7 linked regions of the Ovis aries genome follow. The protein of the gene in region 1 binds, or shares a complex with, the protein of each later gene. Links are inferred from orthologs where the notes say so. Each region holds a gene or a part of one and is shown in the gene's direction. Other genes may lie near its edges. The genes, in order: PLRG1, SF3B2, SNRPB, CTNNBL1, BCAS2, RBM48 and EFTUD2.

Region 1 (4,135 bases):
ATTCTTTGCGACCGCATGGACTATATGTAGCTGGCCAGACTCTTCTGTCCATGCAATTCTCCAGCCAAGAATACTGGAGTGTGTAGCCATTCCCTTCTCCAGGGGATCTTCCTGACTCATGGATTGACCCAAATCTCCTTTATCACAGGCAGATTCTTTTACCGTGTGACCCACCAGGGAAATGCCCTTAAAGCCAAACTTACACTCAAACTCAGAGATGACTGTATTTTCAAATACATGTATGATCTTAACGTTTATAATTAATTAAAAATTAATTTCTAAATGAGATGAACAACTCACATTGCTATACTTTGATAGATTTTTCTCCCTGTTAAAGCGGGGTGCTCTGGTGAAAAGATCTGCAGAAAGTGACTATGGTTAAAGAACAGGAGAGCCAGTAAAACGTTCGCCTATTCAAATTTGCAAATATCCAGTTCCATCAATTTTTCTTCTTACCTAGTAATATAGGTACAACAATCACAAACTGCAGTCTACCTGGGTATAAAACAAAATGCCCATCTTTTGGCACCAGTCTGTATATATTAATACATAAAAATGCCTTGTCTTCAGTTGTGGTTTTTTTCTACCAACTTTGGCCAACTGTACTCTGGCATTGTTGAAGCCACATTTATCACTGGACAACTAGCAAACAAGAGTTATGCCAAGAGTTTTGAGAGATTAAAATTTTTAAAAACCTGTATTAGTGGAAAATAAAGGAAATGGCCAAGAATTCTGAGAGACTTAAAAAAAAAAACAACTATGGAAAATAAATTTGAGATGTTGCCACATGCTATTAAAACCAAAATCTTTTGCAAAATTTCTCAAATTGAAACTGTTCCAACAAGTGCTTAATGGACAGCATAAGTGGAATTGTTTCTGGGCGCCAAGAATACAAAGACGTCTAAAGGCTTTCAGCCGAACTGAGTGAAATAGCGCAATCTGGCCACGTATATCACGGAGGCGCCCCCTCAAAGAAGGCAAGAGCGTGTAAGAGCCTTCCCGCGCTCTCCGGAAGTTCCCTAGAACTGTTGGTTTGTCTGAAGAAATCGTTTTACCATTCCAGAGAACAAAGGGCAAGCAACCACAACCGTAAACCAAAGTATTTAAGGCTGTGAGTAAGAAAACGTTTCTGTGAGCAGAAAACGTTACTATCTCAAGATTTCTGCAAGAGCAAGTGAAACACGCCCTCACGCGACTCCAGCATCTTCCGCTTTGCCGTCCAGAAGCTCCTCCCCAGAGGCGGCCGGGGAAGAGCCCGTTGCTTCACCTCGGAAGGCCTGCGAGCGCCTCGTGCGCCTGCGCGGGGCCCTGCGTCACATCCGGGCCAGGAAGCGCAATTCCGGAAGGGGCTGAGCAGTCGTGGCGGCGGTTTCTGTCCTGTCTGTTGAGTAGTGCTTCTTCCCTGCTGGAGCGCCTGTATAGACGGCGGAGCCATGGTCGAGGTAAAGTGACACTTGGGTGCTCAGGGGCCGTCTGCTTCTGGATTGTTTTTCTTTGGCCGCGGGCGTGGGCGATCGAGGGTTTGGGAGTGTGGGAACTGGAGAGAGTAGTGGCTGCGAAGGGAGGCTGTTTGGCCGAGACCGGGTGGTCTCGTAAGGTTTTCTGGAGGAAGAGAAACCAGAGTTGTGAAGTGAAGCGAAAGTCGCTCAGTCGTGTCCGACTCTTTGCGACCCCATGGACTATACAGTCCATGGAATTCTCCAGGCCAGAATGCTGAAGTGGGTAGCCTTTCCCTTCTCCAAGAGGATCTTCCCAACCCAGGGATCGAACCCAGGTCTCCCGCATTGCGGGTGGATTCTGTACCAGCTGAGCCAAAGGGAAGCCCAGGGAATACTGGCGTGGGTAGGAGTGGGTAGCCTTTCCCTTCTCCAGCAGATCTTCCCGACTCAGGAATCGAGCCGGGGTCTCCTGCATTGCAGGCGGGTTTTTTGTTTGTTTGTTTGTTTGTTTTACCAACTGAGCTGTGAGGGAAGGCCTTCCAGGCGGGAAGCCTGAGGCAATTACTCCAGTTTTCACGCGGTCCTTGGGTACGGAGTTCGTCACGGAGGCGGGGCATTTATTGAACATCGATGTTTGACCACAGGTACTCGCCGTCTGCTCGGTAGTCAGTGACTCTATGTCCTCACTGGTGGTCTCCTCTCATCTCACTTTGTCTCCTATTTAAGCTCTTTTCCGGGAAAACCTGCCATTCTTGAATTTTTGCATTTCCCCCTAACTATCATTCTGTTAGCAAGCTCTGTTCATCTCATCTCAGAATTCTGGGCTCTTTGTCTAGGCCCACTGTCCTCACCTGAATTCAGACCGCATCATCTTCCACCAGCTGATGCATTTGCTTTTAGGTGGTCGGTCTTTTTGCTTCCGCGTTTGTCATCCCTCTCCCTTCCGCACCAAATTGATCTGTTTAAAACCTAAGTTGATCCAGCTTTTCTTGCATGAGACTTTAGTGGCCCTATGTAAAACTAGAGCAAAAATGCACACTGCTGCAGTGGTATAAAAAACAACTTACTGGGACCTGGTCTGTCCTTACAACCTCATCTTCCATCATGAGCCCTCCTTTTCGCCTAACATATACTATGTTCTACGGCTTCTGTACTGTACATTATGTACTACAGCTCCTGGCAGTATTTCAGTTACAGAACGCTTTTGTATATGGCTTTTTCTCCTTGTCTCGATTTTTTTTTTTTTTTTTTGATTGATTGATTTTTTTCAGTTTCGCTGGGTCTTCGTTCCTGCTCTTGGGCTTTCTGCAGTTGCAAGGAAGGAGGGGCTACTCTTCATTGCGGTGCGGGACATTCTCATCGCGGTAGCTTCTCTTTGCCGAGCACAGACTCGAGGCGCATGGGCTCCTGTAGTTGTGGCGCAGGGACTTTAGTTGTTCTGTGGCCTGTGGATTCTTCCCCGACCAGGAATGGAACCTGTGTCCCCGCACTGGCAGACAGATTCTGATCTGCTGTACCACCGGAGAAGTCCTGCCTGGATTGTTCTTACCTCTATTTTGTGCAAGACTGATTCCTTCTCTGCTTAGCTGCCACCTCAGAGAGATCTTCCATAACCAGCCTAAGGTCTTGCTCTGTTCTGTCTCAGTCCCCTGCTTGTTTCCTTCATAGCAATTATTAAAATTGCTTACCCTATTTTTATCTGTTTCCTCTTGAGCACAGGGAGGTGGCTGCCTTTTCATTATTCCTTTGTTAGTTTCTAGCACAGTACCTGGCACTCATTTAATGGGAACTCATTGTTTATTGAACATATGACTGATTTCAGGCATCATTCAGTTGGTATACTTGGGGCTGTGGCCCAAGAGAAGCTTCCTCCTCTTCTCTGAACTTGTCTCCTATAGCTTGTTATAAATAGCTGTGGTGAGTGGTACAAAGTTTTACATATTTAAAGGTGTAAAGTTTATAATTAATTTGCTTCAGTTTAGATTATGATGTATGTAATTTGTAGCTAGGTATGTAATTACACTCTTTCTTTTTAGGAGGTGCAGAAGCATTCTGTACACACGCTTGTGTTCAGGTCATTGAAGAGAACCCATGACATGTTTGTGGCTGATAATGGAAAACCTGTGCCTTTGGATGAAGAGAGGTAGGGATAGTTCCCTTTCAATTGCTAGAATGTTTCAACTTTTAATAATGGGGGAAGAGAGCAGGGAGAGGGGAACCTTTAAAAATTAGTGAGTCATACTAACTCTTAGGAGATCTATTAGTAATGAATGATGTTTTGGCATAATTTAAGCTGATTTAACTTTTCTTTTTGGCTTTTTACAGAAAAATTCCTATTAATTAATTGCATTTTACAAATACCCAGTAATTAGGAGAGTCCCTTTTAGGTGTTATATTTTATAATCAATCACTTTGTATGTGCTTTCAGCTTCCTGCTGCTCTCAGAGCCTTGCTGAGCTGAAATTGTACCTGGCCAGTACCTCTACTCCCATCTTTTCTCGTTAGTATGATGAAGATTCTTGAGTGGTGGCATATTTTTGGTTCTACATCTCCAGCTCCAGTCTGAGATTGCATTATGTGCAGTGTTCCTTCTTTGTCCTTTACCCTTCTTTTAAAATCTACCTAATTCCTCAAACAAGCATTTATAATTAATTAACAAAGTGGGCTGTCCTTAAAAGTAGCATAGTACTTGCATT
Region 2 (3,945 bases), on another chromosome or scaffold:
AGGACAGGGAGAAGCAGAAGGGGGCAAGCAAGGGCCACCTGCCCATCCCTCCCTCAGGGGCACAGGCCGCTGGTGGGGTAGGAGAGCACCAGACAGGGTCTGCTGCGCCAGTAAGCTGGTGGGGATGAGGGAAGAAAAGGTCCTGAGTTTATTTTCTTTCTTTTTCGGCCTTGCGGTGCGGCTTGTGGGATCTTAGTTACCTGACCGCGGATGGAACCCGGGTTTCCCCAGGGAAAGCACTGAGTTCGACCCACTGGACCACCAGGGAATTCCCCTGCGTTTATTTTCAAGACTAAAAAAGGATCCAAATCTTGTCGCTTAAGACTGCTTTTTTTTTTTTTTTTTCCCCCTTTCAGTAATAATTCATTGAGCACTTCTAACGCCAGGTACTGTGAGACCGTAAAAACTCATGTCTTGGGAGTTGTAAGTGCAGAAAAGGGCAAGAAAGATTTCAAAACAAATGGTAGAGGTTTGGCCGCTCCAGAGCAGGAAAGGCGGGAGACAGTTTAACGTAGATGACATTTGAGACGGCCAGGAAGGTGGAAAAAGGGGCTTTAGTGTGGCCCTTCCCCCAGGTCGGCAGCTGGATCTCAGCCCGGAGGGCCGGCTTCGTTCCCGTCTCCGATCTCCTTTCAGCCCATTCATCCATGCCTGGGCCGGGGATGGGCGGGCAGACAATCAGACACTGTTTTATCACAGGCATCGGCGGCAAACTCCCGCTTGGCGCCCACAGCGCGCGACCGCCGGGGGAACGAGTCCCTGGAGAACGTGAGCGTCCAGGCCTCTCAAGTCCAACCAGGGAGTAGCGCCGCAAGGCGGGAGGTCTGCGCTGAGGCCAGTGAGATGCAGAAAGCACGCCCTTCGGGCAGGACCTGCTTTCCCCACAGCCCCGCCCCGGCTCTGGCCTCCAGAGTTCCCCGCGTCGCGGCCGGCCGCGATCCTCCCGGATTTGAATCCGCAGAGATCGTGACCTGTGCACTACAACTCCCAGAAGGCTTCGCGACCAGGCGGCCTAAGGAGCATTGGAGAACGGTAGGGGGTGGGCCCTGATGGGAACTGCCTGGCAACCCTCGAGCGGACGTGGCGTATCGCCCTACCGGAAGTTCCGGGAAGTGGGTCCGGAGGCTGGTCCGAGCTTCCGGGTTGGTCGCGCGCCTTCCTGCGGCTAAGATGGCGGCCGAGCATCCGGAGCCTCCTAAGGGAGAGTTGCAGCTGCCGCCGCCGCCGCCTCCTGGACACTATGGTGCCTGGGCTGCCCAGGAGCTTCAGGCCAAATTAGCAGAGATCGGAGCTCCCATCCAGGGTGAGGAGCATGGGAAGTCAAGGGCAGGAAAGTGCAGGCCTGCGGGGAAGCGGAGCTGGTTACCCCGGAGACCCGGGGGCGGGGGTTAGAGGCTGGCCGCGGTGGCCTGACTTGGGCAGGCTGGCCTGCTCGACCTGACCTACCCCGTTGATCCTGTGCTTTGCTTAGCAGGGAGTCGCGAGGAGCTTGTGGAGCGATTGCAGGCTTACACTCGCCAAGTAAGTGTTGGTGGCGGGACATGAGGATAGGCCGAGCGTTTGCAGGAGGCATTAATGACCCGTTACAACTCGGTCTTCGTTGTTTACGAATCTCGGTACAGCAAGTGGGGTCTTGGCTGCTTCGTATCTGCTGTGTTATAATTGCTTTTGTATATATCGTTTCTTCCCAGAGCCCATTCCGAGCTCTGGCAGACAGTCACTGGGTAAATTTTGTTGAATAGACGAGAGCGAACGCTGTTTCATGCACCAGCTCCTTTTAGACTGCCCTAGATTCTTTTCACTTTCACAGACTGGCATCGTCCTGAATCGTCCCGTTCTGAGAGGTGAAGATGGGGACAAAGCTGCTCCTCCTCCTATGTCAGCACAGGTAAGAAGACTGTCTCACTTGATAAGATTCTTTTCTACTCAGAGTAGCTCCTCCTCTGAGCGTACAGGGGGATACACGTAGCCCACTGGGCAGGGAGGTACACTGATGAAAGAACTGGGAACTCTTCAGTTCTTCCTTCGTCCAGATTCTTACTTCCTTTCTCAGTGTCAGTTCCTCCAAATTTCATGTGTCATTTAAGATTCAGCTTAAATATCTGGAAACCTGACATAATCCTTCCCCAGCTGGAAGTAATCACTCTCTTCTCTGCCCTCCCTGTGCAGAGTTCCCATGTTATTCAATGAGAAATTAGGGCTTACTCTCTGATTTAATTTCATACCTTCTATATTTAATCAGTCATTGGGGCACACTGGGTCTTATTTATTTAAATACTCTCAATTTCCATGTCTTTTCTGATCCAGGATTTGATAGTTTTTCTGTAGAGCAGTGGCCCTGACTTGGGGTCCAGGGACTTCTATGTGTGGCATAAGAAGGTTTTTATTTTTTGAGGGGTTGAGGAGTTTTTCAGAAGGCCTTTAGAGGTGTCCGTGAGTCTCCTGAAATTGTATGTGAAGTCTGTGTTCATGATGTTCTTCTGGGACAGAGTTGACAGCTTTCATCAGTTGGTGGCACAAAGTTAAAATGCTCTTCTTTCGATACTGCCGTAGAGTATTCTTTCTTTTTTCCTTTATGTCTTTGGCTGCTCTGGGTCTTCATTGCTGTGTGCAGGCCCTTTCCAGTTGAAGCGAGCACAGGACTACTGTCTAGTTGTGTTGTGCGGCCATCCCATCGCAGTGGCCTCTGGTTGCGGAGCACGGGCTCCAGGGTATACGGGTTTCAGCAGCTGCAGCACACGCGGCACATGGGCTTAGTTGCCCCGCAGCACGTGGAATCTTCCTAGAGCAGGGCTCGAACCCATGTGCCTTGCGTTGAGCGGATTCTTAAACATTGGACCTTCAGGGAAGCCCTGCATTTTCTTGAATGCAAGAATTGTGCATCATTTGACTTTGAATCCCAGTGCCAGCCTTATATTAGTTCCCCAGCAAATGCCTGCCATTACATAAATGCTTCATAGTTAATGGCCTTTTTTTCCCCCCACAGCTCTCGGGGATTCCCATGCCGCCCCCACCCATGGGTCTCCCTCCTCTACAACCCCCTCCACCACCCCCACCACCCCCACCTGGCCTTGGCCTTGGCTTTCCTATGGCAGTTGGACCCCGCCCGCCAAACTTGGGGCCTCCTCCTCCTCTCCGGGTGGGTGAGCCCGTGGCGCTGTCTGAGGAAGAGCGGCTGAAGCTGGCGCAGCAGCAGGCGGCATTGCTGATGCAGCAGGAGGAGCGTGCCAAGCAGGTAGGGCAGGTGGCAGCCTGAGCCTGGGTCTCACCAGGGTCCTGAAAAGGGAGTAGGGCCTCCAGGGGAGCCGGATCCTGGGGCCAAGGCTTCTGGGAAGGTCTGGACCCAAGTCTTCAGGGCCTCGGCTGGAAGAGCAGACCAGGAAGCAGAGCTGTGGTAGACTGGCCGGTGGGGTGTGGGTACTGGAATGAGCTCGTTTTCTTTCTTAAGCAGGGAGATCATTCACTGAAGGAACATGAGCTTTTGGAGCAGCAGAAGCGGGTAATGCCTCCCTCTTCCTAACCTTTGACCTCCATGGTCTAATCCATCGTCTGTCACTTCTAGTGCTTACTGTCTAAAATTAGCCGTGCCATTCAGGTTTCCCATGGAGATTACCTCATCCTCATCTAAATTCCATTATCTCCCAAATAATTCTTTCTTTCACATAGCCAAGGAATTGGTAATCTGTGGACTATAGCCTGTTTTTGTATGGCCTGTGATGTAAGGATGGTTTTTATATATTTGAAGGGTTGTTTCGGGGAGATGGGGGAAAGGAATTTACAACAGTCTACAAACAACCCAGAAAGCCTAAAATATTTACTGACTGGCCCATTACAGAAGAAATTTCCTGACCCCTACTGGGCTTTCCCAATGGCTCAGTGGGTAAAGAGTCTGCCTGCAGGAGACAGGAGATGTGGGTTTAATCCCTGGGTTGGGAAGATCCCCTG
Region 3 (3,061 bases), on another chromosome or scaffold:
TTAGGTGGTGACTAGCTGGCTGGTTCCTCTCAGTTTGCTCTCCTGTTTTACAGGGCAGATTAAAATGGAGAGTTTCTTAAATCTCTTTCCTTAGTCTTGCTCTTTACTTCTAGCAGAGTACAAGTTGTAAGTAGGGCTGCCAGGCTTTTTATTTCTCTGATTTTGTGTGCCCGGGGGTACTGGGGTAAAGGGCTCTCATGTTCTCCCCACAGGTGTGTAAGGGGGGAGAGCTTGATTTTCTGGCCTCATTGCCTATTTGTAAAGCTGTAGCCTAAAGGGCTCTCACAGTGCAGCCTGGTCTGAAACTGCTTTAAGAAGCCTCTGACCCTCTTCAGGGTAAGTGCTCAACTCCCCTTGTGGGTTTGGGGCCAGTGATTTTTGTTGTCATTTACAGAAACAATTGGAGAATACAGTCCCATAATTTGTTAGATAATTCCCTTGTCTTAGGACTCACCGATCTTAAGCTTCTAGCCTGGTAAAAGATGTGGTCTAGTGTTTTATACAGTAAAGGCATCTTGAGGCCCAAAGAAGTTACGTAATTTCCTTGACCATCCAGCTCTCTTTTGCCACTGGAGTGTCCATAGTGTGTTACCAGTGGCTGTCAGTTCCTTTTAATTCTCTTTGGGACTTTTGTTTTCTTTGTGGCATGAGGTCAAGAAGTATAAGACAGAAAATGGTAGTGATGGCTGAGTGCCCGGTGTACATTAGAGAGTGGCCAACATTTTTAAATGAGACTAACTTTATTCTGGTAATGAAAATGTGCCCATTAGAAAATATTTTGTAAAAGTACATAGAAGTATATGAGAAAAAACTTAAGAGACCCAGAAAGGATTTTTTTTTTAAATTGTGAAAGGGCAGTACATGCTTTTTTTAAAAAAAATAAGAACTATAGATAAGTTTTAAAAAAGAGGAAAAAATGACCACCTATAGAAAATTTATATAAAATATCATTAAAATGAAAACTTTAAGTAATTTTTAAAAATCAAGATATTTTGTATTTCCTTTAACTTTAGGATATTGGCTTTGACTTTCCTTTCCCTGTCTTGTTGCAATTACTTTTTCCCAGTCTATCTCGTTTATATTTTGCTCATCCTTTTCTACTTGTGGATATTTGGAGATTTGTTTTTGTTCTTTGAGGATAGAAGTGTAATTTCTATGTAGCTAATCTCTTAACCTTTTCCTTTATGGCTTCTATTTCTAATATGAGGTGAGAGACAGAGTTATAGTTCTGTGGGGCTGAATTAATACTAGAAGGATACTGCATGTAAGTAGAGTGAATGGGATTCAGTTGACTTGAGGAATTGTTCCGACTGCCTTCCTGACATTGTTAAGGCCTTAAACTGAAGGAAGAAAAAGGGTAATGGCAACAAAGAGTTGACTGAGGGAAGGCTTTCACAGTGGCTTTGTGAGTGAGCCAGGGCTGGGCTTTCTTGAATCTTGTCCTGTCTCTTGGTCTGTGCATTCTCTTGGCATGGGAGACAACCATCAAATGGGGGGAGGTTACAAGTTTAGCCTGTCAGTAGATTTAGTGTAAAAAAAGTCTCGGAGGGCCCCTAGGTAGGTGAACATGAACTTTACCCTTTTTCTAATGCTGTTTTGCTTTGTTTTGTTTCTTCTCCTAAACCTGTCTTTAGACCAAAGAACTCAAAGCAAGCAGAGAGAGAAGAGAAGCGAGTCCTCGGTCTTGTACTACTTCGAGGGGAGAACCTGGTCTCAATGACAGTAGAGGGACCACCTCCAAAAGATGTAAGTCAGAACTGAGAGCCAGTGCAAGGCCAGGAACCTTGTGCAAGGGAGGTGCCACCCTGACCTGGGCCCTGTGTGGGGTTCTCTGTTTCATTGCAGTTCTCATAGGTATCTTCTGGTTTCTGTTTCCCTTATACAGATAATAAACCAGAATCTTAAAGAGGTTCCTTTGCAAGTCAGAAGTAAGGAACTAGGATTTGAGGGTTTGTAACTTTAAAGCCCTCTTTTCCTTAGTTGATGTACCTAGTCAATAGAAGAGGCACCTAAGGCCTCCTGGATCAGTTCTTAATGTGATGACAGTCTAGTTGGACCATAAAAAATTGTAACTCCAAACAATAGAATGCATGTATATTTTTTGTATAGTTATAGAATAATAGTTAATATTTAATTAAGCATCTGCTATTTGCCACGCCCTTCAGTATTTAATTCATGTAACAGTCTTTTGAGATAGATTATTCCCGCTTTATAGATAATGCCAATTGAAATTTAGTAACCTGCACAAGGTGGCACAGCTGGAAAGTGGTGAAACTGTCATTTGATTCCAAGCAGTATTGGTTCATTAACATCAGCCTCCCTTTAGAAATAGGAGAGGCTTTAGAGAATCTAACCAAATTTGTTTCCCCTTTTTCGTTTTAAGATAATGTTTGTTAAAGGAATAATCTTGTTACCTTGTGTTAATTTTTGTCCACATATATATATGTTGGGTTTTTTTAAACTTGTAATAGGTGTGTATCATTCTGCTTTTTAACTTAACATTGTAAACATTTTTCCAGTTGCTGTATTCAAAAGTCATGTTAATGACTTAAAGATACTTTCAAGTGAGTGCAGAGTAGTTTATCCTAGTTATTTCCTTTTGTTTAGACTCTTATATGCAAAGGATGTTACCATGTTTCTGATTCAAGGCCTAGGTACCTATTCATAGCTTTGGTATCTATTTCCAGTAGAATTTGCTACTCTAATGTAGCCGATTGTAAGCCTTCAGGACCACAACCAGTTTTGTTAAAACCTCTTCATTGGTAGATGAAGAAGCAGTACTAGAATGGTGGGATTACTTGCCCACTATCCCCACTATTACCCACCAAGTGAGAATCAGAGCTGGGACTGGACCTCATATCTCTTTGTCGGGTCAAAACACTAATCTAACATAGATACCCTTTGGGGTGGAGGCTTGGCTGTTTATTTGATTTTCATAGGAATGCATATTGGTTGAGTTGTACCTGTTTCTCTTGACTTAAAACCCTTAAGTTCTTTTAGCCTGCTGGGCATATAATCTTGGATGGAGGAAGAGTGGTGTTAACAGGAATGGATAGTGTTT
Region 4 (3,948 bases), on another chromosome or scaffold:
TGCCTCTGCCATGTGAAGATACAGTAAGAAGGGACTTCTGTGAATCATGAAGCAGGCCCTCACCAGACGAAGAAACTGCTAGTGCCTTGATCTAGGACTTCTCAGCCCCCGGAGTTGTGGGAAATAAATTTCTGTTGTTTATAAGCCAGTCAGTGTATTTTTTTTTTCATAGCAGCTTGAAAGGACTAAAACAGACAGCATGAACATGAAAAACACCAGACTAATCGCCAAGGGAACTAGTAGAGAGGCTTAGCTCTCTTTGAAGACAGAAACATTTAAATCCCAGGAGCTCAGATGCACTCTTTGAATAGTTCTTTTCCAATGATGGGCAACTTTCACCTACAGAAAACCTATTTACACGACTTGAGTAGAAACAGGATTATCCAGTTCCACTGGCCTTTGCATAGATGAATAAACAGAAGCCCAGAGAAGGAAATGTCATCACCAACTGTTTCACAGGTACTAACAATTGTCTTGGACACTACACTTTCTGAGCCAGTGCTGTCCAACACAAATGGAGTGGAAGCTACAAAGAGAGCCACACGAGTACTTTACATTTTCTACTAATCACATTTTAAAAAGTAAATAGAAATGGTGAAGTAAACAGCAAAGTGAAATTAAATTTTATATTTTATTTGACCCTAAGTATAACTTCAACATGTAATCAACACAAGTCTTAGAAATCAGATGGGTATTTTCTTTACACTTAAAGCATATTTTAATTCAGACTAGCCATAGTTCAAGCCCTCAGTAAACACAGGTGGTTAGTAGGTATAGTACTGGAGAGCGCAGTTCAATGCCTCAGTTTTCTATTGGAACTGAGAATAAAACGAGGAATAAAACTGCCTAGGTCACTGAATGGATTAAGAGAGGACAAGGGAAACACCGTGCGTCCTGCCCTGCACTCCGCCCAGCACGTAGGGGGCGCGCAATAAATCTTGGTTTCTTTACTCTTTTCCTTTAACGCACCGCCCCCTTCAAGTCTCCGCCCCTTTCCCCGCCCCCTTCAGGTTCCGGGCGGAAGTAGTGCTGTTAAAAGCAGGGCGCTTTGCAGTATCGCTGCATTTTACTGCAGTGTGGCCGGCTTGCGTGTCGCGCGCACTTTTGCTTCATTGGCTCTGCGGCCCCTGCTCCAGGCGCTTTACGGCAGTGTGGCTGGAGCTGCCGCTTTGGGGGCCGCGGTTTGGTCGTGAGTGGAGGGAATCCGAGTAGCCAGTGTTGACTGAGACTGCAACCATGGACGTTGGGGAACTTCTGAGCTACCAGGTATGACGGTCGAGGAGGGCTGGGGGGACCGTCCTCTCACCCAGGCAGGAATCGCAGGACCAGAGTTCCTTCATATCACTCTCTCCCATCTCTTCCCTGGGCCTGGGTCCTCTCATTTCTCTTGTCAACCAGGTCCCTTCCTCGAATTTCTCCTGGGTTCTTTCAATTAATTACGATCCTCAAGGCCCGGACCTCTTTTTAACTTCGTCTGGGCCTCTTCTCACCCAACCCTGAGACTTGACTCCCTTTCACTTTTCTGAAGGCCCCAGACTATCTTCACAACCATTCCCCTTTAATTCTCTGCTTCAAGTCACTGAGTTGAGGATCGTGGTGGGAGAGCACTTTCTTGCATTTGAGTATCAGCTTCTCTACTGATCGGCTCTGTGGCTTTGGGACAAGTTCTATTGTCTTCTTGGAGCCTCAACTTCTGTATGTATAAAACAGAGACAGTAATAGCTACCTATTAGGCTAGTTTGAGGACTGTGTTAATCAATGAATGTGAAAGCTAATTTTAAAGTGCAGAAAGTTGGACACATGTTAATTGCAGTTGTTGGCAGATGTTTGACTTTCTCACATGTGCTGGATCCCTAGGACTCTTGTCCCATTTGCTCAGAATACATGTGGGGAAACTGACCCAGAGCGTAAAAAAGACTTTTCCAAAGTCACTCAGTAAGAGCTTTGATTAGAGATGAGGTCTTTCGGCTCCCAGCTCAACCATTTTACCTTTCTTTGGTCTTCTTAAATGTCCAGTATGGTAGCCACTAGCCACATACAGCTGTTGAACACTTGAAATGGGACTAGTCTGAATTGTGTTAAATTACACTTTCTGCCATAAGGGTGGTGTCATCTGCATATCTGAGGTTATTGATATTTCTCCTGGCAATCTTGATTCCAGCTTGTGCTTCTTCCAGCCCAGCGTTTCTCATGATGTACTCTGCATAGAAGTTAAATAAGCAGGGTGACAATATACAGCCTTGATGTACTCCTTTTCCTATTTGGAACCAGTCTGTTGTTCCATGTCCAGTTCTAACTTTTGCTTCCTGACCTGCATATAGGTTTCTGAAGAGGCAGGTCAGGTGGTCTGTATTCCCATCTCTTTCAGAATTTTCCACAGTTTATTGTGCTGGGAGAAATATCAATAACCTCAGACATGCAGATGATAACCACCCTTATGGCAGAAAGTGAAGAGGAACTAAAAAGCCTCTTGATGAAAGTGAAAGAGGAGAGTGGAAAAGTTGGCTTAAAGCTCAACATTCAGAAAACTAAGATCATGGCATCTGGTCCCATCACTTCATGGCAAATAGATGGGGAAACAGTGTCAGACTTTATTTTTGGGGGGGCTCCAAAATCACTGCAGATGGTGACTGCAGCCATGAAATTAAAAGACGCTTACTCCTTGGAAGGAAAGTTATGACTAACATTGATAGCATATTAAAAAGCAGAGACATTACTTTGCCAACAAAGGTCTGTCTAGTCAAGTCTATGGTTTTTCCAGTGGTCATGTATGGATGTGAGAGTTGGACTGTGAAGAAAGCTGAGTGCTGAAAAATTGATGCTTTTGAACTGTGGTGTTGGAGAAGACTCTTGAGAGTCCCTTGGACTGCAAGGAGATCCGACCAGTCCATTCTAAAGGAGATCAGTCCTGGTTGTTCATTGGAAGGACTGATGTTGAAGCTGAAACTCCAGTACTTTGGCCACCTGATGTGAAGAGTTGACTCATTTGAAAAGACCCTGATGCTGGGAAAGATTGAAGGCAGGAGGAGAAGGGGATGACAGAGGATGAGATGGTTGGGTGGCATCACCAACTCGATGGACATGAGTTTGGGTAAACTCCAGGAGTTGGTGATGAACAGGGAGGCCTGGCATGCAGCAATTCATGGGGTCACAAAGAGTCGGACATGACTGAGTGACTGAACTGAACTGAACTGAACTGACTGACGCTTAGAATAATCAGTATAAAAAAGTAAAATTTTAATATTGATTACATGATCATATTAATTACTTTGATTATTGATCATACTGATTAAATAATCATATATGGGTAATGGGCAAAATAAAATATATTCAAAATAAAATTTACCTATTTCTGTTGACTTTAAAATGTTGCTACTGGCCTTTTAGTGTGGCTACTAAAATTACATATATAGCTGGCTTCTCATTTTCCTTGGACAGCTCTGCAGTAGAGAATAGGGGACTAAGAGCCATGTGTCTGGAGCTCTGTTGCTTGGCCTCTCTTGTTTTGCTGCTCCCTGACTGCTGTGACCTGGAACAAAATATTTAACTTCTCTCTGCCTTGGTTTCCTTATCTTGTAAGTGAGGGCAATGAAAGTACCTATCATATAAGGCTGTTGTGAAATGTGAAGTGTTTGGAGCAACGCTTGTCAAAGAATAAACGTTAAGAATGTTAGCAATTATATTCATGCAATTCCCTCAGCCAATATATTGTACCTAGAATTGACCTTGGAGACTCTGGACATCATGGGAAAGAACTTGTAAGCAATGGGAAGTATGTAGCCAAGTGCCAAGTGATTTCCTTTTTAAGACAGTTATTTGGTGTGAAAGAAGAACGGAGATAGGTGGGTTGAATGAGTGGTTATATCTCTGGTGGCTCAGACGGTAAAGAATCTGCCTGCAATGCCGGAGAACTGGGTTCAATCCCTGGGTCGGGAAGATCCTCTAGAG
Region 5 (3,806 bases), on another chromosome or scaffold:
ACTTGAAACTGAAGGGAAACCTTCAAGGTCAGCCCCTGATTTTACAAATAAACAGACTTAGCCCTCTTGATATCTAATGGCCCATCCCAGGAAGCATAGCTATTTAGGGCAGAGCTGAGACTAGATGTCAGGTCTTCTGATTCCCATGGTACGGTGTGGTCAGTGTCAGCATTCAGAATACTTGAGGAGGGACCTGTGTGTTTAAGAGGGAAGCTAAAAGAAGGGAGAAAACAACAGATAAGCCGGCCTTCCAGAAAGAGGTGATTCAAAGGAAAGTTCCCTATTAATGGTTGGAGGTCAGGAATACAGTACTAAGCTTTATTGTCTCCAGGGTGGAATAATTGTCAAAGTGGGATGAGCTGAAAGTAAGCCTGGAGAGGCACCACTGTTTGAAGACCAAATTTCTATAGAATTAGAGTTAGTTTCTGAAAATCAATTGGTAGAGATAGGAGAATTAACTCAGAAGGAAAGCAGGAAATTTGAGCCACAAAAGCCGGGAAATAATACTGAATCTAGAGCAAGAGCTTAGCAGAGCCAGTATGGTTGAAATGGACTCTACTGCCTTAAGAGAAATTGACAGGGTATGTGAGTTGTATCTTAGTAAAGCTGTAGTTGAGGAAAAGAGAGAGATTGAACTCTACCCTTGAGTCATTTCTCTAATGATAATTGCAGGGAACTCTGTCTAACTCAACGTCTCCCCTCTGCTGGTTCGAGCTGATTTGGACTGAATCTGAATCTGCAGCCTTCCACAACAGTTCTTTTCTTCTCTCTAGTTAGCAGTAGACAGGAGGAGAGAGGGACACACTGAATGTAGGTGAAGAAACAGAGATAAAAGGAGGTACACGCATGAATGATGAAACAAGTATACTCATCAGATACTCCCTCATCTTCTCCATGTAAAGAAAATAACAGTTTAAGACTTGACATAAGTACACGAAATCAGAATTATCAGTAAACAACTTGGGTTCAAGAGTTTTGTAAGACCTGAATTCACCTCTGAGGCTTAATCATGTGTGTTACCTTGACCAAGTTACTTAATCTGAGTATAGTGTCCTAACCTGTGAAATGGGGATAATGATGTCTACCTCAAAGAACTCTTGTGAGAATTAAGTTAGTATTGTAGAGTGTCTAACATGATGTTTGGCACAGGGAGCTCAAAAAATACTGGCTTATTTTTAGCAGAACAACTTGGCCTTGTGTCAACGAGACAGTATACTTTTAGTTAGCACTATTTGATTTTAATGTACATTAATCTGATTTTCTTTTTTAGAAATCTAGTTCATATGATTGAGCACGCACAGAAGGAGCTTCAGAAGTTAAGGTAAATTGTTTGTATTTCTATTTTAGAATGAAGTTTAGGTGAATCCTTAGTAAATACAATAAGAAGGAAAAGGAACCACTGGACTGTGGTCATATAAGAGTAAATAATTGATGATCCACTCTGTCCACTGTTTAGTGTTGGGTTTGCCCTACCTGAGTTGAAAAGAAATAGACCTGAGATCTGAAAACATCTCTCTGGGGTCATTTGCAGTTTGCAAGTTTGCAATTATTGAAATGATACTTTTAGAAGGAAAAGTAGTAAAATAATATGTATAATATGATTTATATTAAATTAAAAACACACACACACCCTAATCTCTGTGTGCATATACACATACAGGAAAGTATCTGAAAGAATACTCACCAAAAACTGAGCAAAAGTTATCAGAAGGAAAAGCAGGAAGGAGGGACTATCCATTCTTAAGCAATTAAAGATATTAATTACAGACTTTTCTGTTGATTTTAGTCTTACGTTAGAATGTAGGTGGGTTGTATAAACTCTTTTTTTTAACAGGAAACATATTCAAGACTTAAACTGGCAACGAAAGAACATGCAACTCACAGCTGGATCTAAATTAAGAGAAATGGAGTCAACGTGAGTATCTGTAATTCCATCACCTTTTAAATTGTTTGGCACATGTTAAGATCAAGATTCAACAATATGATTAAAACAGTATTCAAATAGAGTGCCACAAGTATCAAAGAAATGCTTTTCCGGAATCCCAGTCTTGACTGCTTCTGCCTGTTTCTGAAGTATGGGCTTGAAAGAATGTTAGAGTTACAAACACAAAACTGAACCACTGCTAATTTATTCTGATTTTAGAGCCCCCTGTTTTCCATCCACTACTTCTGTTCTGAGTCTATTTTTAAACTCTTAAAGGAGGGGAATTCCTTACTTTCTTGATCATTTGTGTGTGTCTCAGGAGTTTTTCCCTTTGTTTATATATTTTGTTTTCTTAATGTTGTTCTTCATATATGCAAATAAATTTTGTACAAATCTCTGAATATAGTCATTTTTTTAATCATGTCTTGTCTTTTTTGACTTGCTGTTTCCCTGATCTCCCTGCCTCCATCACCCACACCACTGTCCTTATTCTACCTTCCCCTCATCCTCTGAGTACCCCATGTGATCAGTCTATTATTGCATCTTTCCACACTGTGCTTCAAACTGATATAATCTGCATGTACATGTGTGTTTGTTTCATTTGTCCTGGAGATTTTTTTCTGGTAGAAGGGAAAGGTTCTTTGAATCTGTGGAATTGTATCTTAGCAGCTGTAGAAATTTCTTCATCATTTTTAACTATTGCCTTTGCCCTATTTTCTATCCTTTTCTAACCCAATTAAATACTAACTTCAATCACTCTTTCATATCTCTTCAGCTCTTTCTGATTTGTTCTTTTTTTACACTTTTTATTTTGAGATAATTGTAGGTTCACATGCAATTTAAGAAGTAGTGCAGAGGTCCTATATACATACCCTTTACTCACTTTCCTCCCTAATTGTGCCTCAGCTTTTGAAAATGTAAAGCTAAAAGTGAAGGTTAGTATTATGGTTAAAAATACATATACTGGTTAAAAATGTGTGTACTATAAATGTGTATAGTTATGTGTATACTATAAACATCTTGTAAGAGAAATTTCGCTTTAGGTAATTTTCCCCTGTGTTTTCTTTTCTAGCTGGGTATCCCTGGTCAGTAAGAATTATGAGATTGAAAGGACTATTGTACAATTAGAAAATGAGCTCTTTCAAATGAAGCAGCAACACGGAGAGGCAAACAAAGAAAACATACGGCAAGACTTCTGAAATAGACTGGCTCGGTGGGTAGAGAGGAAGGTACGCTGGGCTTTCACAGAAGATCAGGCATCTTAACTATGAGGAACATCAGCATCTTTTGGAAACCATCAGTGGTTATATGTTTAGAAACCATAAAATGTGGTAGTTGTATTCTATTTGTACATTTTAGCAAAATAAAAAACTTAAACATGATGGTGGTTTGTTTTGCTTTGTGTTTTTGCTATTAAAAAAAAGAGAACTTTAGATTTCCAAGATTAGTATGGCATTAGAATAATATTTTGTTCTTAAAATTAATTTTGAGTCACTGTGACCATATTTTGTACCCAAGAGATCCTTACTGAAAGTTTTCAACATGTACAAGAAGTTGGAAATTTTGGTTTATTAATATAAGTATTTCAAATAAAGAGGTAGTTCTAAACAAATTTTTGATTACCAAACAAGACTAAAGAAATAGAGTGGCTCTATATATGTTACCTGTGATCATCATCACTGTAAGCAGCAGTTACATTAAGCTTAGTATATGCTGAGCACTGTCTAAGCACTTTAGGTAGATGAGCTAAACTTACATGAGTTAAAAAAAATGGATCCTCACAAAAGCCTATGGAATTACATATTCTCATATACAAACTGACAGGTTCTGATGAAGTAATTTGCTGAAGCTTTTTTAGCCAGAAAGTGTCATCAAGGTTTTG
Region 6 (3,294 bases), on another chromosome or scaffold:
CAAATTCCCAGTGCACAGAATGGAGTCACAGAATCTAGTTCATGGATTGTAGAACGAGAGGAGTCAGCACTGGACTATGATAGTGTGTGTGGTCTGAAATCTGAATAATTCTAGCGGCTCAAATTACCAGATTTTCACCCTTTGGTTAAAAAGACAAAGACAGTGTCTAAAAAGCCATTGACTATAATGAGTTTCTGACTGATTGGGTAAGGGGCACCTGGCAGTGTGAAGCGAGAAGTGGAAAACTTACCCGAAATTTTGGCAAGAGCTGTTGGGAGTCTTTGGTCATTCATAGGCCCTGAACTGTAATCTGGGTAAATGTGTAAATAACTGGTTCCAGGAAAACCTGTATGTGTGGCGAAAGAAATGATAAGATATGGACCCAGCATATTGTTTTCTTTAAAAACCACAAACACAAACTAAGCATAATACGTTCAAATAGTAAAAGTACTCTGAAGATATAAAGTTTTCTGTGTAATAACATGGAAAAACTCCCCAAGATGTAGAGTTAACTGGAAAGCAGATACAGAAAAGTGGGTATTATAGGAGAACTAGAGGGCTGAGTGGGAGGGGAAGAAGACTGGACAGATGACCTTTTTAGCTTTTAACCCATGTAAATACAGTACTTGTTCAAGAAGAAATTTTTTAGGGTAGCATTCATTAACATCTTAATGTTTCTTTTTAAAATTACTTGTTTCTATGTGATGAAAAGAGTAAATGAACCATTTCTGTTTCCCTTTCCCTGCCTTTTCAATTGTAACATACAGACCATTACATGACAAAGAAGCATAAAGATGCCAAAGATTTTAGAGGGGACTTCCATTCAAAGACATCTGGATTTCCTGCAGCCTCTCTGAACACATCTACTGGGAACTCAGATCTTTGTCTTCCTTATTCTCCTGAGTTGCCGTTGTGTTATTTCTCCCCAAAGTGTAAATGTTCATCAGGAGAATATGTAGACAGACCATCAAACTCCTCCCAGGATGGTAGAAACTCTGATGACACACTGGGGCACTGTGACCACTGTGACTCTCTGCAGAAAATGCAGATGAAAACTTTACAAAAGTCATTGGCCCGCCACGGCGCACAGAAGGCTCTCGCTCCTTCAGAGGCAGTTGACAGGTTTATGCCTAGGACAACACAACTGCAGGAGCGGAAAAGACGACGAGAAGATGACTGCAAACGTGAAACCCTTCTTGAAGCAGGCACAAGTAGTAACGAGGTTATGATTGGCCCCCAGTTACCAGACATTCCTAAAGTGGACATGCATGATGACTCCTTGAATACAACAGCGAATTTAATTCGGAATAAACTCAAAGAGGTAAGATCGTTTAAAAAAGAAACTTGTAAGAGACAGTTTGGTTATAAGGACTACCAGCTAAGTGGAGAATTATTTGTAGGAACTTCAGTATTGTCATTCTCTTTTTTTCCATTTTTAATTTTTAGATGTTTTCCTACAATTATATGTTGAAGTAACTGAAGTTGACTTACAGATATGTATTTGTTTTGATACCTTTAATCCTTTCTTTAAATATGTTTTATGTTACTCTAGGTAGAAAATATAAAAGCAGTAGTTTCAGTCAGATTAGTCTATGAGAATGGAGCCCAGGCCCTCCCTTTTTAAACAAAACTATCCCTCTTCAGATAGTTCTAATATGAGCCAATGTGGAGAACTACTGCACTGAGGGGAAATTATTATAATTTATTTCTCAAGTTCACAATTACAAATTTAAAAATTCAAATGCTTATTTTGCTTCTTTGATAATCATAGAAGAAGGTGAGATTTCTAAAGATTAGGCCTGAAGGTCTGCATTTTAATTCTAACTTCGTAAGACCTATTGATAGATGGTCCTCCTTAAGTAGTAGTTTTTTAATGTCATTTACATTATCATTTTCCATTTTCTAAGCACAAATAAAAGTTAACATTTGAGATAGCTTTTGAAAGATACCTGACTATGGGGCAAGCCTTTAGAAATCATTATCCGAAGGAGAAAGACCGTTCTCTTGTACTTGAACTCAGGTTCAGAAAGTGTTTTTCACATAGTGGTACATATATTTCACAAATGTGATTAAGAAAGGCTAAGGTAGATTATTTTATGTACCTTTTCTTAACATCAAAGTTAAATCCAGTTAAGGACAAGGAATTATTTTATACTAATAAAAACTGAGGGACGCAGTTTTTCTGCTTAAGCTTTTTTTTAATGCTTAAACTTCTAGAGCCTTGTTTTCGCTTGTGCTGGTGCCCAGCCTGCAGGTGCAGATAGACACAGACACACACATAGTTGTCTTAGCCAGAGTCGACTGTGTTTTCAAGAAAAAAGTTAGGTCCAAATCCTAGATTTAGAAAGTGTAGAAGAAAAAATACTAAATACAGTTATGTCAGATTCTAGTAATTTTCCATTTTAAGTGAAGACTGTTGTGTGTGCTTTAACTTACATTGTCTACTTTGTTCTGATGTATTTGGTTTCATTTTTCCCTGAGAAATTGAGGATTCTAGCATTTTTGTTTATTTCTCTACATTTTTCTTCCACCATCCTAGCTAGAGCCTCCTTGTCTCTGAATATATCAAACATTATCCGTGTTTCAAGTTACACAAAACCAGGGTATCTCTCTGTATTCATAAAATTAAAAGTGACTTAATAAAATAACAGATCTATAAAGGAATGTTAAAGTAGAGCATACATTTACTTTTCTCCCCTGAAAATTTTTCTTGGCTTTAAAAATCTCACTCCCATCGGTGTTTGGACAGAAGACTGCTCTGTGTCTGGATTGCAGGCTGCACCTTGAACGTGGACTGCCTGCCTTAAAGGTGGTGATGGCGAGGCTTAAACTCCCGGGTGTCCATCTTCCCTCTTCTAACAGTGTATTACTCTCCTGCTATAGAAGTTAAACTGTTGGTGGTTCTCTTTTTAAAACTAGGTAATTTCATCTGTGCCCAAGCCTCCAGAGGACAAAGTGGAAGATGTGCATAGAAGTCGTCCTTTAAAACAAAGGAGGAGGATATAAATCGCCTGCAGTAAATTAATATTTTTAAAGGACTATTTTTTATTTTTCGGCTGTCATTTGGATTCTTGAAGAGATTTTACTGCTGGTATTTTTTTTTTAATGCACTGTTATTCTTTGTAGTTTCATTCAAGCTACTTGTCTAATTTAGTTTCATCTTTTAAAATTATTTTATTGTGAACAAAGAACATGCCAGCCAATTATGTCCCTTTTAAAAAAATAAAACTTTCCCAGAGCCTACACTCCGTGACTTTGGTTACACCTTTTTGGCTGGAATTGGGCCCACTGCTC
Region 7 (3,500 bases), on another chromosome or scaffold:
ATAAATAAATAAATAACATTAATGTAGTAAAAGAAAAAATCAATGTATCTTAATACCCACAATTCTTTTTTGTTTGTTTTGTTTGAACCTCGAGGCTTGTAGGATCTTAGTTCTTAATTCCCGGACCAGTGATTGAACCTGGGCCCACTAAGTGAAAGCACCGAGTCCCAACCACTGAACCATCAGGGAATTTCCCTGATACCCACAATTCTGTTTCCGCACCACAGCTTCCTAAGCCTTTCTCGGTTCCTTCTCTGGCACTGAGAAACTTGGCTCCCCAAAATCATCAGTGGATTTATTCATTTCTCAACCCTACCAGGTCACCTCTTAAAATTTCCGACTCTGCTGTAGAATAAGATACCCTCTGCTTCCCCCTCATAATCTGTTTCCTCTCTTCCACATCCTTCATATTTTATTTTTATTTTTATTTTTTTCATATTTTAAACTAGAACTTTCTTTGACTCTGTGCGGGCCTGTTCTGCCCTCTTTGCACTCATCCCCAGCTTCTGTGTCTCAGGTGATGCTGAACACAGAGCGGCTGATCAAGCACGCGGTGCAGGAGAGGCTGGCAGTCACCGTGTGCATCAACAAGATTGACCGGCTGATCCTGGAGCTGAAGCTGCCACCCACGGATGCTTACTATAAGCTGCGTCACATTGTCGATGAGGTCAACGGGTTAATAAGGTAGAGGAGCCCCCGAAGTAAACCTCCTGTCCCCGGCACTCTGGTTTTTATAAATCTTAACCTTGAACACCTCTGGGGGCAACTCTGAGCTCTTGGCATGCATTGATGAGCTTGTTGGACACAGCTGGAGGAACATTCTGTGACTCTACAGGGACTGACTCCCTAGCCTTGGCCTCATTAACTCTGCTCCTTAACCAGATAGGCAACTGGCTGCAGATCCTCAGTTTATTACTGCAGTCACTTCCCTGAGCTCTAGAGTCAGTCTCATCTTCACCAGCCAACCATGTAAAGTTGGAAAGGTTCCTTAACCTCTTAGAGCCTCAGTTTCTGCTTCCATAAAAAAAGAATAATAGTATTTGCCTAATGAGATGTTACAAGAAATTAAGTAGATAGCCGATATAACATACTTAGCACAGTGCTCAGTGATAATAGCTTATGGGTGAATAATGTCAGCTGCTGTTATCTTATTAGCACAGACTCAGTAAGAGAAGGAACTCTTGGCTTTTGTTTCTTACGGAGCTGCTTTTCAACAAGATGGATTTGGGGTTTAGGTTAATAAGTATGAATGATGGTTGGGAGACCTTGGAATCATGGTGGCTTTGAAGAATAGGTTAAATATTTCTTAAGGACAGTTTAACCTATAGTGGAAAGATGTACGGATAACTTCTTGAGGCCGCCTGCAGGGCTTGGGAGGAGCCTGTCCAGCTGAGAAAACTCCTCTCCACCCGAGGATCCAGGACAGACCCCTCGTGGCCCGGGACAAGTTCACCTTTAGGAACACCCCCAGTTTGCAGTGCTGGTTCTCAACAGGGGTATCTTCTCCCTGACACTGGAGAGGCTAAGAATGACCGGAGCCCAGTGTTACAGCCAGAATCCAAAAGATGAAATGATCTACTTCTCTGAAGACAGGGCAGGGGTCGTGTAGGGCTGAATCGTGATCTACTAGAATAGGAAGTTAGGAAGTCAAGAAGTCACATCTCAAGCGCCAGACAAGAAATATCACCATAAATATATTGTTTAGAAATATGGAGGTAAATGCTCTAGAAGCAGCTTTTAAAGAAGTTGAAAACACTTGCCTCTGGGGAGCATAACTTGGGAGTGTGGTAGGGGAGTGCTCTTTAGAAGCCTGTACTTGTATTTCTAGATTAAGAAATTCCATAAAGCAGTGTGTCAGGAAGGCTTGGGTTGATTCCTATGTGCTCTGGTTTTCTTATAAATGCTAGTGAACTTGGGGGTACTGTGGCTTCTGTATGACTTTTAAGACTAAATGTTTTAACGTGAGTTTGTAAAGCAAAGCCAGACAAGACCATATGAGAATGGGGAGCAAAGTTGCTTTTTTTTCATTCATTCATTCATTTACTTATACTGGTATTTCTGTTTGTGAAATTGAGATTTCTCGAATGTACTCCTGTTTTATCAAAGTAGTTTCATTTCCTGTGTTCTGAGGTGTTTGTCCTCCAAGTTTCTCTTTGTCTGGTGCAGTTAACTTCTCCAGGATCATGCAGTGTGTTTCCAGCTCTGGAAAATCATCTTGTTACTGGGAGTTAGGGAACAGCTCCATCATGTCACTTTCTTGGAGCTGGCTGTTGGCGAAGCTGTGTGTGTTATGCAAACCCTTTCTGCGTGCAGCCACTGGAGAAAGGCTATGATACCGAGTGCTGCCCTTCACCCTTCGCCTCGGGCCCACATGCAGCCCAGCCCAGCCACACACTCAGGGTCATCTCTCTTCCAGCATGTACTCCACGGACGAGAACCTGATCCTTTCCCCGCTCCTGGGCAACGTCTGCTTCTCCAGCTCCCAGTACAGCATCTGCTTCACGCTGGGCTCCTTTGCCAAGATCTATGCTGACACCTTCGGTAAGCTCTGGCTGGCAGTCTGTCTCACCAGCTTCCCCAGAGTCCTGTGTGCGTTTCCTGCTGAACAGTTCAGGAATGGGCTGCACGCCAGAGTCTCTGCCAGAGAGAGCACTGTATCAACTGTTACCAAGTCACATTTGGGGCTCTTTTTGGCCCCGAGACTCTTCTGATCAGGCTCTGCTGCTGCTGCTAAGTCACTTCAGTCATGTCCGACTCTGTGTGACCCCATAGATGGCAGCCCACCAGGCTCCCCCGTCCCTGGGATTCTCCAGGCAAGAACAATGAAGTAGGGTGTCATTTCCTTCTCCAATGCATGAAAGTGAAAAGTGAAAGTGAAGTCAGTCAGTCGTGTCCGACCCTCAGTGACCCCGTGGACTGCAGCCTTTTAGGCTTCTCTGTCCATGGGATTTTCCCGGCAGGAGTACTGGAGTGGGTTGCCATTGCCTTCTCCCTAATCAGGCTCAGTGGTCTCCAAACAGTAGAAGGATGAAGGTGCCTGGGAAGAAATGGGTGAAGAGGGGGCTCATACCAGGAACAAGAATCTCAAGTGAGACAGGTTTTGTCAAGAAGGAATTATCCATGCTCCCAAAGCCTTGCAGGCCTTTTCCTCAAAGATGGAATCTCTCTCACCAGTGGTGCTTCAAGCTGTCTTTCCAACGGTATCCAGACACATAAGGGGCTTCGTTGGTGACTGAGTAAAGAATATGCCAGCAATGCAGGAGACTCGAGTTCAGTCCCTAGGTCGGGAAGATTCCCCTGGAGATGGAAATGGCAACCCACTCCAGTATTCTTGCCTGGGAAATCCCATGGACAAAGAAGCCAGGTGGGCTGCAGTCTTTGGGGTTGCAGGAGTCAGACGTGACTTAGCGACTGAGCCACCAGCACCACCAGGCACGTAGATGTTTCATAGGCCTACTTGAGAACTCAGGTTGGATTCGCAGCCCACTGGGACACGCAGC

The links.
Region 2: PLRG1 (region 1) and SF3B2 share a complex: the UniProt entries of both Homo sapiens proteins name them as parts of the minor spliceosome. The link is inferred for Ovis aries from reciprocal best matches to the Homo sapiens genes PLRG1 and SF3B2.
Region 3: PLRG1 (region 1) and SNRPB share a complex: the UniProt entries of both Homo sapiens proteins name them as parts of the minor spliceosome. The link is inferred for Ovis aries from reciprocal best matches to the Homo sapiens genes PLRG1 and SNRPB.
Region 4: PLRG1 (region 1) and CTNNBL1 share a complex: the UniProt entries of both Homo sapiens proteins name them as parts of the PRP19-CDC5L splicing complex. The link is inferred for Ovis aries from reciprocal best matches to the Homo sapiens genes PLRG1 and CTNNBL1.
Region 5: PLRG1 (region 1) and BCAS2 share a complex: the UniProt entries of both Homo sapiens proteins name them as parts of the PRP19-CDC5L splicing complex. The link is inferred for Ovis aries from reciprocal best matches to the Homo sapiens genes PLRG1 and BCAS2.
Region 6: PLRG1 (region 1) and RBM48 share a complex: the UniProt entries of both Homo sapiens proteins name them as parts of the minor spliceosome. The link is inferred for Ovis aries from reciprocal best matches to the Homo sapiens genes PLRG1 and RBM48.
Region 7: PLRG1 (region 1) and EFTUD2 share a complex: the UniProt entries of both Homo sapiens proteins name them as parts of the minor spliceosome. The link is inferred for Ovis aries from reciprocal best matches to the Homo sapiens genes PLRG1 and EFTUD2.

Annotation. Positions count from the first base shown.
Region 1 is NC_056070.1:3,068,723-3,072,857, forward strand, and holds the start of PLRG1 (pleiotropic regulator 1), read left to right. Parts: upstream 1-1,335; 5' UTR 1,336-1,433; coding exon 1,434-1,442; intron 1,443-3,473; exon of another isoform or gene 3,474-3,475; coding exon 3,476-3,582; intron 3,583-3,867; exon of another isoform or gene 3,868-3,939; intron 3,940-4,135. UniProt on the Homo sapiens protein: Involved in pre-mRNA splicing as component of the spliceosome. Component of the PRP19-CDC5L complex that forms an integral part of the spliceosome and is required for activating pre-mRNA splicing.
Region 2 is NC_056074.1:40,572,011-40,575,955, forward strand, and holds the start of SF3B2 (splicing factor 3B subunit 2), read left to right. Parts: upstream 1-1,145; 5' UTR 1,146-1,170; coding exon 1,171-1,303; intron 1,304-1,471; coding exon 1,472-1,521; intron 1,522-1,810; coding exon 1,811-1,888; intron 1,889-2,986; coding exon 2,987-3,235; intron 3,236-3,448; coding exon 3,449-3,499; intron 3,500-3,945. UniProt on the Homo sapiens protein: Component of the 17S U2 SnRNP complex of the spliceosome, a large ribonucleoprotein complex that removes introns from transcribed pre-mRNAs.
Region 3 is NC_056066.1:52,396,632-52,399,692, forward strand, and holds part of SNRPB (small nuclear ribonucleoprotein-associated proteins B and B'), read left to right. Parts: intron 1-1,634; coding exon 1,635-1,746; intron 1,747-3,061. UniProt on the Homo sapiens protein: Plays a role in pre-mRNA splicing as a core component of the spliceosomal U1, U2, U4 and U5 small nuclear ribonucleoproteins (snRNPs), the building blocks of the spliceosome.
Region 4 is NC_056066.1:66,596,401-66,600,348, forward strand, and holds the start of CTNNBL1 (beta-catenin-like protein 1), read left to right. Parts: upstream 1-1,148; 5' UTR 1,149-1,236; coding exon 1,237-1,266; intron 1,267-3,948. UniProt on the Homo sapiens protein: Component of the PRP19-CDC5L complex that forms an integral part of the spliceosome and is required for activating pre-mRNA splicing.
Region 5 is NC_056054.1:91,947,463-91,951,268, reverse strand, and holds the end of BCAS2 (pre-mRNA-splicing factor SPF27), read left to right. Parts: intron 1-1,270; coding exon 1,271-1,321; intron 1,322-1,834; coding exon 1,835-1,915; intron 1,916-2,996; coding exon 2,997-3,123; 3' UTR 3,124-3,306; downstream 3,307-3,806. UniProt on the Homo sapiens protein: Required for pre-mRNA splicing as component of the activated spliceosome. Component of the PRP19-CDC5L complex that forms an integral part of the spliceosome and is required for activating pre-mRNA splicing.
Region 6 is NC_056057.1:10,627,001-10,630,294, forward strand, and holds part of RBM48 (RNA-binding protein 48), read left to right. Parts: intron 1-767; coding exon 768-1,471; 3' UTR 1,472-2,919; coding exon of another isoform or gene 2,920-3,006; 3' UTR 3,007-3,294. UniProt on the Homo sapiens protein: As a component of the minor spliceosome, involved in the splicing of U12-type introns in pre-mRNAs.
Region 7 is NC_056064.1:44,320,467-44,323,966, reverse strand, and holds part of EFTUD2 (116 kDa U5 small nuclear ribonucleoprotein component), read left to right. Parts: intron 1-517; coding exon 518-684; intron 685-2,416; coding exon 2,417-2,541; intron 2,542-3,500. UniProt on the Homo sapiens protein: Required for pre-mRNA splicing as component of the spliceosome, including pre-catalytic, catalytic and post-catalytic spliceosomal complexes. Component of the U5 snRNP and the U4/U6-U5 tri-snRNP complex, a building block of the spliceosome.